Diceros bicornis minor: one gene and its partner. The main gene of each other region encodes a partner of the protein of the gene in region 2 in a complex. Links are inferred from orthologs where the notes say so. Each region holds a gene or a part of one and is shown on either strand. Other genes may lie near its edges.

Region 1 (8,009 bases), on a different chromosome or scaffold from region 2:
CTGTGAACCTTAAACATCAATGTCAGTCTCTTACCACAACCTTCTGTTCTTCCAGCTCTGATACCTTTACTCCCACTACATCTGTTTCTTGACCTCACTAAGACCACTAGTCCCTCGACCTCTCCATTTTTTCCTAATCTACTGGCACCTCCCACGCCAGGCTTCAAGTGCTTCCCTCTCCACCACAGACCACAGTGTTGCCTATAACTGTCAGTGTCTGCTTAATTCCACTTCACTATGGTTTTTGCCCGCTTAGCTGAAACTATGTCCCCAAACCCAATGGATTCACATTCTTTGACCTCTCATCAGCATTCAACAGACTTGAGCACTTCAAGCTCCTGAAAAAGTTAAGTCTTCTGAGTTTCCATGCCACTATGACACTCCTCTGTTACAGCATTTATCACATTATGTTCTAATTAGCTGCATATGAGTATATCTTCATCTTGAGTTTAAGGTTAGAGTTTGTTTTATCAAACTTTGAATTCTAAGTACCTAACAGTTTTATGGTACATAAAAGGTATCAGTGACTTCAATTAACCAAATGAAATATGTTTTATGAATTAATGTCTAACTGAGAAAATTTAAGTTCTTAGCAAGCAAATCTAGGAATGCTTTGTAAGCGTTCCTTTGCTTTCGTTAAGTTCCTGGTAAGCAGAATCTATGCTTCATTCTTCAGTAAGTACTGCCTCAATAACACCAAGCACTGTACCGTGATCCCAATCTGGAAGAGGATCTAAACATCTAGATCACAGTTGGTCTAACTAGGGTCACTGGCATATTTGGGGCACACAGCACAAACCTCGGTTGGAGAACTGTTTCTTTAATCAGCTCCAGTGAGTCTGGAAACTTTGAGGGTACAGCTGAAAGACTAAATTAGTATTTGTCTAGTGCCAAGCCAGTGATGCAAAAATCATCTGTTACAGAAGCTCAAAGCAGGGCAGTCACAGAGGTTAAGAATGGGGGTGAGGTGGGGGCCAGCCCAGTGGTGTAGCGGTTAAGCGTGCGTGCTCCGCTTCAGCGGCCCAGGGTTCGCAGGTTTGGATCCTGGGTGTGGACTGACGCACCGCTTGTCAAGCCATGCTGTGGTGGCGTCCCATATAAAGTAGAGGAAGATGGGCACGGATGTTAGCCCAGGGCCAGTCTTCCTCAGCAAAAAGAGGAGGATGGGCATCGGATGTTAGCTCAGGGCTGATCTGCCTTACAAAAAAGAAAACCAAAAATAACCAAGAATGGGGGTTGGGGCAGGGGTCTGGGATGGAGGACTGATACTGAACACTCATCCTGGGAACCTGGAAGATGAGTGGAACTTAAACAAATGAGGGTGAGCAGGCAAGGCACTTGTGGCAAAGAGAATACAGAGGCTTGGTGTGAGAGAAACCGTGGCAATGTTTGGAAGATAATGGATCATTTGAAGTTTCTGGAAAATGCTACACCCTCAAAGATAAAGAGAGGAAGAATGTATGCATGTGTTAGGGCTGGTATAGGCCTGATGTGGAGGACGGCAACCAACGGCGGTTTTACACTTAATGTGTGCCAGCACAGTTAGATGCTTTCTGTAATAACTTAGTCTTTGTGAGAACTAAGTCTAAAGTAGCCCCTGAAGGAACTAGACTTTAGGTAATCTGTCCCAAGGCACGTGGCTAATATGTGGTGGAGGCTGCCTACCAATTTGGTCCTTTTTGCAAAACATCAATTTTCTTCTAAGCTGGAAGGACTAGTACACGTTCAAGAGTTAGAAAGAGAAATAATGCATGGGAGTGGAGTGGATTCACAAAGGTGTTTAAAATCTGTAACTAAGATGGAGTGAAAATGAATTTGATGAGATCAGCAGTCCCCAAAGAAAGAGATATATCAGTAATTCCGTTTCAGCGCTTCTCAGTTTTACAAATTACTTTAAGATATGTATACTCCAAATTTGGAACTTCGACAGGGAAAAAGTTATTCTTCCATCTGAAGGTTAAACAATATCATAAACAGATAATACAATCGTTTGTGTCCAAACAGAGAATTAGAGACGGACTGGGGAAACAGGGTCTCCGGCATTAGGAACTAGTAAGGAACAGAGGATCAGGCTAAGATGTTTAGGAAAGCAGAATACTACTGAAATCCTAAATGGGATCCTGCCAAACAAATTTACTTGTTGAGAGGGTTATCTTTTTACAGATGCCCCACTCCTTTGCCAACCGGTTAGAAACTTCTTTGTAAACAACTGGAAAATAAAGACATTTAGTCACTAGATAAGGGGGGAAAACGTGGTCTCTGGGCTTAGGGAGCCAGAGGTTTTGACTTCCTAGTCTGCGCCTGAACTCATTCGCGGTGAACTGGCACTAATTACAACTGACGTGAAATGCTGTCGTGAAGATCAAAAATAAAACCTACGTCACTCGGCACACTTATAGATATTTATTCAATAACCAACTACTCTTTACGTATTTTATGTCGCCCAAAGTGACAGCAATCGGGCAGGAAAGTTCAAGTTCCTTGGGGAGTTAAGTCGCAGCAGGAAGGTGAGATAGAGAAACAGTAAGAGGTCAGTAGGAATGGGAAGAGAGGTGAGCAAGACAAAAGGCCGTGGGAGATAGAAGAGAACGTCGATTACCCTGACCACTCACCCAGCAGGGTCCCGATGACTCGGGCAGCGCCCTCGTTGCGTCGCTCGTAGCTGTCCACGATGGAGGCCAAAATGACGGGGTGCAGCCGGACCACGCGGCCGCCGGGGAAGGGGCCTGGGAGCGCAGGCCCGGGCAGCGACTGCGCCGGCGTCTGCGCGGGGGCTGGCGCTGAGGCCGGGGTCTGTCCCGGGGCCGCGGTCCCAGCCGCCGCCGCCGGGTCTGAGGATGAGGCTGGAGCCGGCGATGGAGCTGGAGCCGGCGGCGCAGCCGGAGCTGAGGGGGAGGCTGGGGCTGGGGCTGACGCCGGGGCTGGGGCCGCAGCTGGGGAAGGGGCTTGAGTGGCGGGAGAAGCACTCGCCGGTACTGTCGGTGTGGCCATCTTGTCGAGAGAGAAAGAGCCGGGAGCGGAAGGGAGCGAGTTAGGGAATATTAGGCACACGATAGGCTGAAAACGCACCACGTGAACTAGATCTTTGTGCCTATTGGTTACTGATGATGCTTCTCACGGCACTACAATTTCCTGCTCTTAGTTTGTGCTCTTTGACTTTGGTCCGATAGGCACTCAGTGAGAAACAAGCTAAATAGTTCCGAGTAAACTTGGGCCCGCGGTTGGAGAAGAGAAACAATTCTGTCTGTGCTGCCGCCGCCCCACGGAGCCGGAGAGCAGCGCAAGGGTCGCAATTCCTGTTCTCAGATTTCAGTGGGAAAATAGTGGATGTCAAAATGCCTTTTAAAGGACTTTGTTCTTGACAGCGTCATAAGGTGTCAGTATGGTGGTTTATTCATTCAACAATTTGAATCTGTGCCAGACGCTCTTTTAGGCGTTCGGGATATATCTGCTAATAAAACAAATATCGTTGCCCCAGAAGAGTTTACATTCTAACGGGGAGAGACAAATGAGTACATTATATAATAAGTTAGAAGGTGATAAGTGCTGTGAAAAAGGAAAAAGTAGCAGAGAATATGAGTGGACTTGAAGGAGGCGAAGGAGGCGGCCATTGTTGGGGGACGGGGAGAGCCTCCAGGTAGAGGGCACAGCTAAGGAGCAGGCCTGGTGTGCTTGAGGAGGCTATGGGGTGGCTGGAGTGTTAGGAGCAAGGCCCGGAGCAGCAAGAGATGGACCTCTACATAGGGGTCAGGGAGCAGATCATTAAAGACCTCCTAGGCCACAGTAAGGACTTTGGCTTTTAGTCTGAGTGAGATGGGGAGCCACTGCAGGGTTGTGAGCAGGGGAGAATCCTGATCTTAGTTTTAAAAGGATCACTCTGACTGCTTAGAGAAGAATAGAATGGAGGGGCGGTTATTGGAGAGAGGGAGGTGAGAGAGAAAGAGCAGGGAGACATGCATGGAGATTCCCAGGAAGCCTAAGTGAGAGGTGATGGTGGTTGGGACCAGGCCAGCGGCAGTGGAAGTGGTGAGAAGTGGGCAGATTACGGCCATACTTTGAGGGTAGAGACAACAGGATTTTCTGAGAAGTTGTATGCGAGGTGTGAAAAAGAGGAGTCAAGAATGACTCCAGTGTTTTGTGCTGAGCAACTAGTATCAAGAAGTTGCCATCAGTTGAGATAGTGAAAGCTACAAGTGGAGCAGGTTTTTGGGAAAAGATCCCAAGTTCATTGTTGGATGTGTCACCCTTGAGATCGGGCATCTCATTAGACATCCAAACAGAACTGTAGAGTGGTCAGGTAGAGATTCTAGTCTGTACTTTGGGAGACGATTAACTGAGTAATGCTCTGTAAAGCTCTTAGCATATGCCTGATATACAGCATTTGTTATTGTTAAGTGGTAGCTATTATTAGTACGATGTGATAGAAGGAGCTCTGAGCCTCACTCCTTGTGTAATTTTGGGCAATTGATAATTTTTTTCTGAGCCTCAGCTTCCTTCTTGGTATAATGGGGATGTTAACATTTGCCTGTCAGGAAACCTGTCAACTCCCTTACTTAGGTCAAATCCCAGCATCCAGCTGGCCAGGTCGGTGGTGAGGTTGAACTTCTTAGCCTTGACTCTTATGTCCAAGAACTGCTTTCTCCTTGGAGCTCCCTTCCATAATCAGAATTCACATGATACTGTTCCCCTGTTAGTGCACTGGGTAGACATTCTCTCTTTTAATTCCCCCAAACACAAGTGAACCGCCTATCAGAGGAGGATTGAATAATGACTCTTGGATTTGATGACCTGGATTTTTACCAGCACTAGTAGAGCAGTGTCAGTGGAATTGAGGGTGGAGTGGACACGGAAACCAGAATTCAGGTGTGAGAGAATGGCCAGCTTGAAATGATGGCAGTGAGTGCTGGCTACTCTCTCAAGGAAGTTGCCTGGGAAGGAAAGGAGACATTTAAGGCAGTAGCTGGGGGAACGGCAAGATTGAGAGGGGGACAGTTGTGGCTGGGAGAGTTTTTAGTATATTTTAAGCTAAGGGTAAGGATCTAGAGGAGAGAGAAAGATTGAATATACAAGTGTGAGCTAGGGAAACTGTCTAATGAAACAAGGCAGGAAGGAGGACCTGAATGGAGAAGCCTAGATGAGAGGGATGGTCTTGCACAGGATGGAGGATATGCTGCAGAGGCTGCCCTGGGCTGTGGCCTCCCTTGTGGGTTCCTAGTGGGGGTCTCCTTTAGCCAGGGCTGGTCCCGTGAGATCATCCTATGGAAAGAAGGCCAGAGGAGAGAATCACCCCTTAGGAATAGGTGTTGCCATCCCAAACTGACCATACACACCCTTGGAATGCCTATCCATGTGTTGATTTGAGTTGGATGTGGACACTTCACCACCAAGAACTTTGCCTTTATATAGATGGCCTAAAGACCTTTCTCTCTGGGAGGAAAGGAGAAAGGGATGGATGAAGAATCGGAGACACTTTGAATTGGGGAGAGAAGGGAAGTTGCAGGAGCTCTTGTCAATTGATATTTTTCTCAGGGAGGTGGAGGCAGAGTGATCTGCTGAGAATGGCAATGCAAGGGTGGGGTTCAGCTTTGGGACAATGGACAGCATTTGGAAGAGGGGCCAAGAGTGAGCCATCAAAGGCATTGATCAATTATGAGAGGGCCCAGCTGAGCCTGGAGACCTCAAGGATCTGGTCAGCTCTTGTATGTTTCTCCAGCCACATTGCTCAGGGGCAGGAGGAGAGAGATCTTTGGCATGGTCTTCCTAGGCATGCTGACTGGCCAGGACAAGGGAGTGCATACATCCAGGATGTTCGCTTTTCAATGGCTGACTGAGGGATCCAGGCAGGCTGAACCCTATAAATGAAACTCTGGGGCCCAGATTCATCAGGAAAGGGCAGAAGGCATGGGGAGAGAGAAAATGGGCTGTCCCCTTGTATTTGGAAAATGTGTTGTGTACATGGTGTATTGGTCAGAGTTCTGCAGAGGAACTGACAGGATAAATATATATATATATATATATATATAAATAAATAAGGAATTGGCTCACATGATTATGGAGGCTGAGAAGTCCCAAGATCTTTAGTCAGCAAGCTGGAGACCCAGGAGAGCCAATATATAGTTCTAGTCTGACGGACTAGAGGCAGGCTCAAGACCCAGGGAGAGCTGATGTTTCAGTTTGAGTCTGAAGGCTAGAAAAGACCGGTGTCCTGTTCAAGCAATCAGGCAGGAGGAGTTCCCTCTTATTCAAGGGAGGGTCAGCCCTTTTGTTCTCTTCAGGCCTTCAATTGATTGGATGAGGCCCACCCGTATTAGGGAGAGCAATCTGCTTTACTCAGTCTATCAATTTAAATGTTAAACTCATCCAAAAGCACCCTCATAGACACACTCAGAATACTGTTTGACCAAATATCTGGGGACCCTGCACCCCTGTCAAGTTGACACATAAAATTCACCGTCACATCTGGGTTTCTGACTGTCCTGGGGAACAAGCTTGATAGTCCTGCCTGAAAAGACCAGGGTCATAACTGTAGGCTCATGTTAAAGATGGGGCCTGCAGCTTGATAAACCCATCCCACCTCCTCAACGATGGTTGGAGTGAAGGGAGCCCCAGCTACAGCTGCAACTATAGGAGGACCACAAGGGGGAGCCCCAGGCTCTCTTGACTCTGTAGCAACTGGAACTTGAGACTTAACTCAGCCTTCCCTGATGGGGCAGAGCTGTGCAGGAACCATGGCCCCGTCCTTCTGCAGACCGGGCCTGGCACAGGCAGGCTGGTGGGCTGCCTCCCACAGTTTGTCTCTGCTCGTCGCCAGCACCTAAGAACATTAGAAGAGGTATTCCCTTTAAAATCAGGAACAAGACAAGCATGGCTGCTATCACCACTTTAATTCAACATTTAACCAGAGTCCCAGCCAGCACAGTCCGAAAAAGGAAAACAATCAAAGGCATAAGGATTAGGAATGAGAAAGTAAAAGCCATTTTCTGCAAATAATGGTTACCTGCATAGAAAACCCAAAAGAATTCAATTCATAGATAAATTATTAAAACAATAGGTGGATAGATCTGACAGATGAACAAGCTATTGCTCTTCTATGCATCAACAATAAAAAATTAGAAAATGTCATTATAAGTACACCATTTACAAAAGCAACAAAAATATAAACAACAAAATATGTGCAAGACCCATACATAGAAAATTATAAAACTTTACAGAAATGCATTAAATAAGACCTAAATAAATTATAATCCATGATCACAAATAGGAAAACTTAATATCACCAAGACGTCAATTCACCTCTAATAAACCTTTAGAGTCAATGCAATCTAAATCCGTCAAATTTTACAAACGTGTTCTAAAACGTATAGGAAAAAGCAAAGGGCCGAGAATAGCCAACACGGTTTTCATGAAAAAGATGGCAGAATGGGAGGGAGATCCTGTGCTATCAAACATTGAGACATATCCTAAAACTGTAGTAATTAAAACATAATATTGGACCTGCTCTACCAGATTTCAAGACCTTTTAAAACTGGAGATATAGTAATTAGTAAATCATTGTATTGGTGCAGAATAGATGAAATGGAACAACAATAAAAAAGAGCCAGAAACTGTACTAGGCATTTATGACACTTTGATATATAAAAAAGTATCATGGCAGATTAATGGGGAAAGGAAGGACAATTCAAAAAATAGAATTAAAAAATTCCTGCTAGACTAAGAGGTTAGAACAATACCTTAAACACATTAAAATATACAGAGGTAGATGTCTATCTCTCTGACATTCAAATAGAAAGTATTTCTTAAATAAAACCCCAAAAGCCCTAACTGTAAAAGACAGCACTGACAAAGTTGGCTACACTAAAACTAGGATTGGTTTTTCAAAAGACAGCTTAAAGAAAATAATAAAGATTTTCTAAAGAAAAATGTAGAAAAAATGAAGAAAAGTAAAGAAAGAAATTAATAAAAAAATAAAGAAAGGAAAAGCCATAAACTTGGAGAATATATTTGCAAAA
Region 2 (7,822 bases):
GCTAATGGAGCACTGCTCACAGTGGACTGCAATATACCTGTTTCCCCCTCGGAATATGCTCCTTCACAGCAAACACCCGCTCTAATTTCCCTGTGTCCCCAGCGCCCAGCCTAGACCTGGCACAAAATTGGGGACTCGGTAAATATTTACTATATGGAGCAGCTTTCATAGGCTCCCCCGTCTTTAGTTGCAGTTCTTTCCCCACTGCTACCTGAGCTTGCTAAAACTAAACACAGACCACCACTCTTCCCTGCTCAGCAACCTCCACAGCATGCCACGTCCTACAGAACAAAGCCAAGCTCCTGAGTTTGGCACTCAAGGCCTGTTCTGGCCCTAGCCTGCTTCATCTTCTCCACTGACTATTTCATCCCTCAAGCGGGAACTCCTGCCAGATCATATGACCTGGACACGACACTTGCCATGCTTTCATTCCTGCATGTGCCAAAGTGATGACCTCTTTCTCATCCTTTAAGCCCCAGCTCATATGACATTTACCTTGGGAAACCTTTCGGGCTGCTCCCATCCCCCTGCCAGGCAGTCAGTCGCTTCTCTCTGGCCTTCCACCGAGCTCTATGCTTCCTCTCACATGGCTCATTATCTTCCTGCAGTGCCTCTTTTCTCATCTGTCTTCCTTATTTTCTTATCTGTCTCTTGTTCCCTAGGCTAGGAACCATCTCTGGATTTATTTCTATTTCCCCAGAACCTGTTCACTTAAACAGTACACTGTAGGTCCCCACTGTGCTGAAAAAGTGAATAGCCCAGGCTTACCTGTTTCACAGTCCCAGAGACGACAGCTGTTGTCAGCTGAGCCAGTGAGGACATGCTTGGTGTCCCCTGAAGAGGGTGTTAAGAAACATGACTGAGTTCACCTGAGCCCTTGTCCTCTTGGGAGCCAACTCAATCATCTCCCTTTTCAGCCCCAAAGAGCTTTTCTTCTTCTCTCTTACCTCAGAGGTTTCTCACCTCCTCATCTAGAACTGGAACTTGTCCTGAATCTTCCCCCAATCAGTGAACAAAGGGAGTAGGAGGCTTCATTATCTAGACCCACAAGAGCATCCCAAACTCCCAACCTCCAACTCAGCAGCTTTTCCATTGCTGGCAGACCCTGGGAGCATAGACTCAGGGCCAAGACAAGGATACAGTCAGCGTCCACACACCACACAGCTCCAGTATGGCCCATGTAGGTGCCCAGCCTCTCACCATTCACGGAGTACCATACATTGACAATCTGGAGGGGTCAACGACAATGTGACAGGATGGTACACAACCCAGGCAGAGCAATAGCCTCCTATTTTGCCCCAGGAACCCTCACCAGCCTCTAGCCAGGCCAGATTCTGCTCTCTCCTGCTCATCTCTTGGGAAACAGCAGGTTGCTGGTAAAAAGACCAACTCCTGGATTCTCCTCCTTCCTACAGGTAAGCGGCAGAGGAGTCAGGAGGCTTGCAAAAATGTCTCCATCTGCCACTGTCCCAGCCCTCCCCCAGACTCCTAAGCCCTCAGAAGAATAAAAGGTCAAGTTGAGTGCCAGTCCAGAAAAACAGTAGCTTTGGTGTCCTGTCCAAGTGGGAGTACTTGGTAGTAGGGAAGCCTGGGGAGTCCTTGCTCTGCCACAATCTCACTGTATTATCTCAGATACAGTGCTTTTCCCCTCTGAACTTCAGTTTGCCTATCTGTAAAATAGCCATGACAATAATGCCATTTTCAAAGGGTAGCTGTGAGGCTCCAATAAAATGATTAAGGAATTTAAAATATAGGTGACTAACATTAATTAGGCACTCATACGCACCAGGTGCTAAGCTCCTTACTTGAATGATCTCATTTAATCCTAAAGACAATGCCATGGAGGAGGTACTATCAGTACCCATATTTTATAAAAAGGGAAACTTGAAGTTTATAATTTTATTTATTTATTTATTTTTCCCCAAAGCCCCAGTAGATAGTTGTATGCCATAGCTGCACATCCTTCTAGTTGCTGTACATGGGACACGGCCTCAGCATGGCCGGAGAAGCGGTGCCTCGGTGCGCGCCCGGGGTCCGAACCCTGGCTGCCAGCAGCGGAGCGCGCGCACTTAACTGCTAAGCCACGGGGCCGCCCCAAAACTTGAAGTTTAGAAAGGTTAAATGACACACTCAAAGTCACATTGCTAGTGGATGCAGGGGTCAGGATTCAAATCAGGCGTTTGGCTTCCGCATCCCCACTTTTACCATTAGAGTTAACTTCATCCATGGGGAGGTGCCTCAAAAGGCGGTGCTGTGAGGGCCTGTTTACAATCAGTGAATGGCAGGATGGGGCCCAGAAGGACTGACTGAAATGAGACCAAGGACACCTTTATTAAGTCCTCTGTGTCCCTCACCACCCAAACATCAGCTTTCCCCTTCTAGAGGTGGCTTGTTCCCCTCTCCAGGTAGAATAGTTTTGTTCTCCCCCAGAGTGGTCTCCTCCTGGTCCCCTGAACGAGCTGACCCTTGTCCCCGTCCTCCTTCCACAATGGTCTCTTGCTTTTCTTCTCCCCGGCTACTCCCTCTTTCTACCAACAACTGAGTTCTTTCCCACCTTTCCTGGTAGAATGCTCTCTCCTACCTACCCCCAGGATGGTCTCTCCTTACTTCTCAGAATAGGGCGCTCTTTGGTTCCCCTCTTGCGGCAAAACTCGCTTGTCCACCCATCGCCCTCCAGAATGAACGCGCCCCCTCCAGAGGCCCTCCGCATGATCCCGCCAGCCCGCCCTCCAGCCGAGGCTCACAGGGTCCTTGGCCACCGTGAAGAGGAGGTCTCCCTCGCGGTTGTACTTAATCTGCGTAATGGACCGCTCATGGCCCTGGAGAAGGATCGGCTTCTGTGGGGACAGGACGGGAGAGTCAGCGCCCAGAACCGGCCCCTGTCCAGACCCGGACCCCCAGGGCAACACCTCCAACTCAGGGGAACTTACCATCGCAGCGGTGACGCGAGGAGAGCGGCAACGTGAGTAGAACCGGAAGAGGCTTTGCAGCGGCTTCCGGATTATGGGTCCCCGCCCCTTCGTTCCCGGAAGTGGAAGGGAGCGGCGTTGCCATGGCGGCGTCTCTCGGTGGGTAAGGCGCCCCGCCCCACCATGGCTTACCGCCCGTCTACGGCCTTCAGTTTCCACCTCTGGAGTTCGCTTCCTACTCCACGTCCACCTCCACCTCCACCTCACCCCGACTCTTGCTACAGCCCCAAGCCCCGGGCTCCTGGATTCATCTCCCCGGCCTTCCGGGGTCTGTCCTACCCGCGAATCGCACCCGCAGCGTCGGAGAGCGAAGGAGGGAGGTGGGGGAGGCTAGCTGGGCATAGGAGGCCGGGAGAGGGCCGGCCGGGATGGGAGGCCGGATGAGGGCTGGGCCCGGCGGGCGGCCATTTGGGGGTAGGGAGGGGTCACTCGCATCTCCATCCAGGGCAGGTACTGGCCTTGGTGCTGGTGGCCGCTCTGTGGGGTGGCACACAACCGCTGCTCAAGCGGGCCTCCTCCGGCCTGCAGCAGGTTCATGAGCAGACCTGGGCCCGGCAGTTGCTGCAGGAGATGAAGACTCTCTTCTTGAATACTGAGGTGCGTCTGTGAATGGCCCCTCTCTCGGGGATAGTGGCTAAGAGTTTAGTCTCCTGAGTCAAACAAGTCTGGGTTAGAATCTACACCCCACCACTTACTCGCTAGAAGCTCATGGACAAGTTACTTGTTCTTCTTGAGACTCAGTTTCATCATCTGTAAAATGGGAATTATAATGGTAACCATTTTATAGGGCAGTTGTGAGGATTAAGTGAAGTGAGTTACAGGGCCTAGTACATAAGTAGTGCTCAGCCTATGGCTGCTATTATTAATATTTTATTATTGTGATCCCTCCAGTAGACCTTTCCAGAGCGAGGGCTTGGGGCCCAAACTGGCCCTGGGGAGGGAGTTTAAGGAAGGATATGGAGAACTCCCTCTGACCCCAACACTGCCAGTCTAGGCTAGTGGAAAAGACAAGACATGGACACAACCACCTCTCAGGGCTAAGGGGTATGAGAGAGGTACAGATAGTTCAGAGGAGGGAGGCTGGAGTTAGGGGACTTGGGAAAAGCTTCCTGGAGGGAGTGACATTGGCACTCAGGGACTTGCAGGATAGGGGGTATGGGAACTAGGAGGGCTGAGGGAGGGGGCATTCAGGACAAAGGCATGGAGTTCAGTCAGTAACTTTCCCTCTGCCCTGGAAGGGTCCTTTTCAGAAGGCTCAGTGCTCCCTGGGCCCTTATAGCTACCCCTCCCTCCAAGGAAAGGCATATCCAGAAGCTCAAAGTAGACAGTGCTGCTCAGTCAAGCAATCACACTGACTACAGATTTCTTCTGTTTTCAGTACCTGATGCCGTTTTTCCTAAACCAGTGTGGTTCCCTTCTCTACTACCTCACCTTGGCATCAACAGGTGGGTCTCTGGCTTAGAACTGCTATGCTTAGTGGTGGAGGCCACCTGGAAGAGTCACTTTGGGGAGGGAGCCTGAAGCACCTTGTTCCCATGGGTGAGGGAGAGCCCACTGCCTCTGGTTCCCTGTGCACCGCCTTCTCTGAGCAGAAGGAGCACAGGGGGCTGGTTGTGAGTATGCTGCCAGGCACTAGGCTTGGTTTGAAGCCTGGCAGTCTTGTGCAGCAGCAGAGGAAGAAGGAGGGTTCACTTTGCTGTGTCAAGGGCTGGCTTTGATGCTCTTGCTTCCACTGCATGCTACCTGCTTGACCTTGAGCAAGTCCCTCATGTGAACCTTGGTTTTATACGACTGGCTTCATAGCATTGAGAGGATTAAATTCAGTGTATGAGAAGCATCTAGCAGAGTACCTGGTGCACACTGTAGGAGCCCAATAAATATAAATTTCCTTTCCCCCATTGTTTGTTGACTGCCCTCTACTGCATCAGATACTGTGCTAGTTTTACACATTTTATTTAATTCTCATCGTGACCCTGTGAAGGACACATGATTATCTCCATTTAGGAGATGAAGTTACAAAACTTTGGGCAACTTATTTCATCTCTCTTAAGTCCCACAGCATGTCAGTGCAGAAGGGTTTGAAGCCATGTATTACTTAAAGTTTATGCTCTTTAACTTTGCTATGAGAAGTCTCCCTGTGGTGGCTTCACCTCCTCTGGAGTCTCACCCAGGCCCTCTGGGGACTTGAAGGGAGTTTGGGCCCCAGATAGCTCTGGGGAACCTCTCAGGCCATGGGTGGGCAAGGGGATAGGCCAGTCTCCAGACCTGCTGTGTCAGCTTCAACTAGAGTCACTCCACTTTCATCTGTTTTACATTTTGGGCTTCTCATAAGACTTCATTTAAAAGAAAGTTTAAGGGCTGGCCCAGTGGTGTAGTGGTTAAGTTCGTGCACTCTGCTTCAGTGGCCTGGGGTTTGTGGGTTCGGATCCAGGGCACAGACCTATGCAGCACTCATCAAGCCATGCTGTGGCGGCATCCCACATACAAAATAGAGGAAGATGGGCACAGACGTTAGCTCAGGGCTAATCTTCCTCAGCAAAAAAAAAGAAAAAAGAAAGTTTGAAAGACTTGGGCACTCCCTGCTACCCAAGAATGCTGAACCCTCTGGCCAGCTGACTGCGGTTGGCCATTTACCAAGTTTTGGGCAAATGGCAATTTTATGATCCTGTTATCTCATCACCTACTCTGCCTCTATCCTTTAACATCCACCCATTCTAATAATCAGAACAATGGTTACTATTTATTAAGCATCTACTTCAGCCAGGGACTATACAGGCATTGTCATATTTCATCTTGCAACAACCCTGTTGTAAGTAGATGCTGTTATCTTGCTATCACTGTTTTACACGTGGGGAGCGGGCTCCGAGTGTTTGAATGAGCTAACCGAGACTACACAGGGACACCCAGCTCTGCCTCTCCAGTGCCCTTGCTCTTCCAGTGCAGCATGCTGCTTCCCTCCCCCATCTACCATTGTAACCCAGTCTTTAGCAGCCATGGCATTTGTTGTAAGGCATGTAAGCTTAAGGAAGCAGGTCTGAGTAGTAGGAGTTGTGTCAGTTTCTTGGATGGGTAATGCCAGCCATGGTAGGGCCTCACAGGGGATGAGGAGTGGGACAATTCTCGCCTCCACTCACTACCTGAAACAGGTGAGGCCTGGGAGTGCTGGGAAAGAACTTCTTGAGGAGCCAACATGAGCATCCTGGTCTCGCTGGCAGTTAGGAGTTTTGTAAACAAGTAACTCAGCTTCTGATTTATCCATTAGTTTTTTTTTTTTTTTTTCGTATGTGTGTGGTAAGAACACTTAACATGAGATCTACCCTCTTAACAAATTTTAAGTGTATAAAATTTAAGTGTAACACATTTTAAGTTAACAGAGTTGTTAAGTCTGTTAGTCTTTTTCAAGTCTGTTTATTGGGAGTCAGTCACTCGGAGCTTCAAGACTAAGGAGCAGATCCTGGGCTCTGGTGGCCTCTCCCTAAGGCCCAGCCCTGTGGGGCCTGTCCTGAACAGGTACCCGGCCTCCTCCTTCTAACATTCTTTTTTCGTCTTTAACTCCATAAGGCCCAAGCCTGAGCTGAAACAGAAACAAACTGTGCTTCTCCTTCTCTTTTGGTTTGTCCATATCCATTTAATTCGATAAGGGCACAGGCTTGGGAGTCAGGCAGACCTTGGTTTAAATCCTCAATTTGCCTCAATTTATGTGACTTCTTTGAGCCTTTGTTTCCTTTATCGATGCAAAATGATGACAGTGCTGTTCTTGCAGTGTTGTTGTGAAGAGTCAATGAGACATGGACACAAAGCGCCCAGCACAGAATATGTGCTTAGTATGAACAGTGGCTGTGCTTCGTGTCACTGCACTCATTCTGCTGCATCCTTTGGGCTTTGGGTGCCTGTCTGTCCAGATGTGCTTGAGATCTCAGGAGCTCTCTTTGAGTGCAAAGACCTCATCCTTAGCAGCAAACCAGGGTGGTTCCAGACTTTGTAGTTCAGATTTTCATGCTGGAATCTTGAGGGAACATGGAATTTGGAGTTAGGAGACCTGGCTTTGAATCCTGAGCTTGGCTGTGACTTCGTCTGGGAAATGGAGTCCTGAGATACCGTTTTTTAAAAGGCTGTCTTGATGATGAAATGAAAGTGTTTTGTGCTTCGAAAGGCATTTTTGCATCTCAGAGATTCTTTTCATTCTGCTCACTCAGATCTGACCCTAGCTGTGCCCATCAGCAACTCTCTGGCCATCGTCTTCACACTGATTGTTGGGAAGGTCCTTGGAGAAGATATTGGTGGAGAACGTAAGTCGGGCCACTGCAAGTGTGGGAAGCAGCTACTTGGGCCTTGATACCCCTGTTTTGGTTCTTTCTCAAAGCCATGTCCCATGGGTGGGGGAGGAGAGGACCTTCTCCGATCCTGCCCCTTTCCTCTGCAGCTCTCCTGCTTCCTTGGGGCCATCAGAGTTCCCTTCCCCTGGACAGTCTGGGGACACACCCCATCTAAGCCCTTCCCTCAGCCCTGTACCAGCTCCTGCTGGCATGGCTGGGCTCAGAGCCTCTTATTTCTGCCCATTACCGCAGGAGCATTCGCAGGCATTGTGCTCACCGTGGCAGGAATCACCCTCTGCATCACAAGCTCAGTGAGCAAGACCCAGGGGCAACCATCTACCCTTTGAGTGGGCCGACACCACCCTCCAGCTCTACTGTCTCCAGGAAGCCCTCGTGCCATGAGGTGCAGGCTGTGAGCAGATGGACCTAGCACGTCCCCGCTCTGAGCTTCCGCTTCCTCATCTCTTATGGGAATAACAGCTACCTCATGGATCACAATAAGAGAACAAGACTGAAAGGATTTTGTAACTTTCAAGT

Evidence for each region. The genes of interacting proteins can lie anywhere in the genome.
Region 1: EIF3I (region 2) and EIF3F share a complex: the UniProt entries of both Homo sapiens proteins name them as parts of the eukaryotic translation initiation factor 3 (eIF-3) complex. The link is inferred for Diceros bicornis minor from reciprocal best matches to the Homo sapiens genes EIF3I and EIF3F.

Annotation. Positions count from the first base shown.
Region 1 is NC_080746.1:66,883,316-66,891,324, reverse strand, and holds the start of EIF3F (eukaryotic translation initiation factor 3 subunit F), read right to left. Parts: upstream 3,007-8,009; 5' UTR 2,992-3,006; coding exon 2,613-2,991; intron 1-2,612. UniProt on the Homo sapiens protein: Component of the eukaryotic translation initiation factor 3 (eIF-3) complex, which is required for several steps in the initiation of protein synthesis.
Region 2 is NC_080752.1:47,009,014-47,016,835, reverse strand, and holds the start of EIF3I (eukaryotic translation initiation factor 3 subunit I), read right to left. Parts: upstream 3,004-7,822; 5' UTR 2,963-3,003; coding exon of another isoform or gene 2,934-2,962; coding exon 2,931-2,933; coding exon of another isoform or gene 2,838-2,930; coding exon 2,745-2,837; intron 1,229-2,744; coding exon 1,141-1,228; intron 835-1,140; coding exon 769-834; intron 1-768. Other genes in the region: TMEM234 (transmembrane protein 234), read left to right, coding at 2,803-2,962, 3,415-3,566, 4,348-4,414, 7,166-7,258, 7,538-7,632. UniProt on the Homo sapiens protein: Component of the eukaryotic translation initiation factor 3 (eIF-3) complex, which is required for several steps in the initiation of protein synthesis.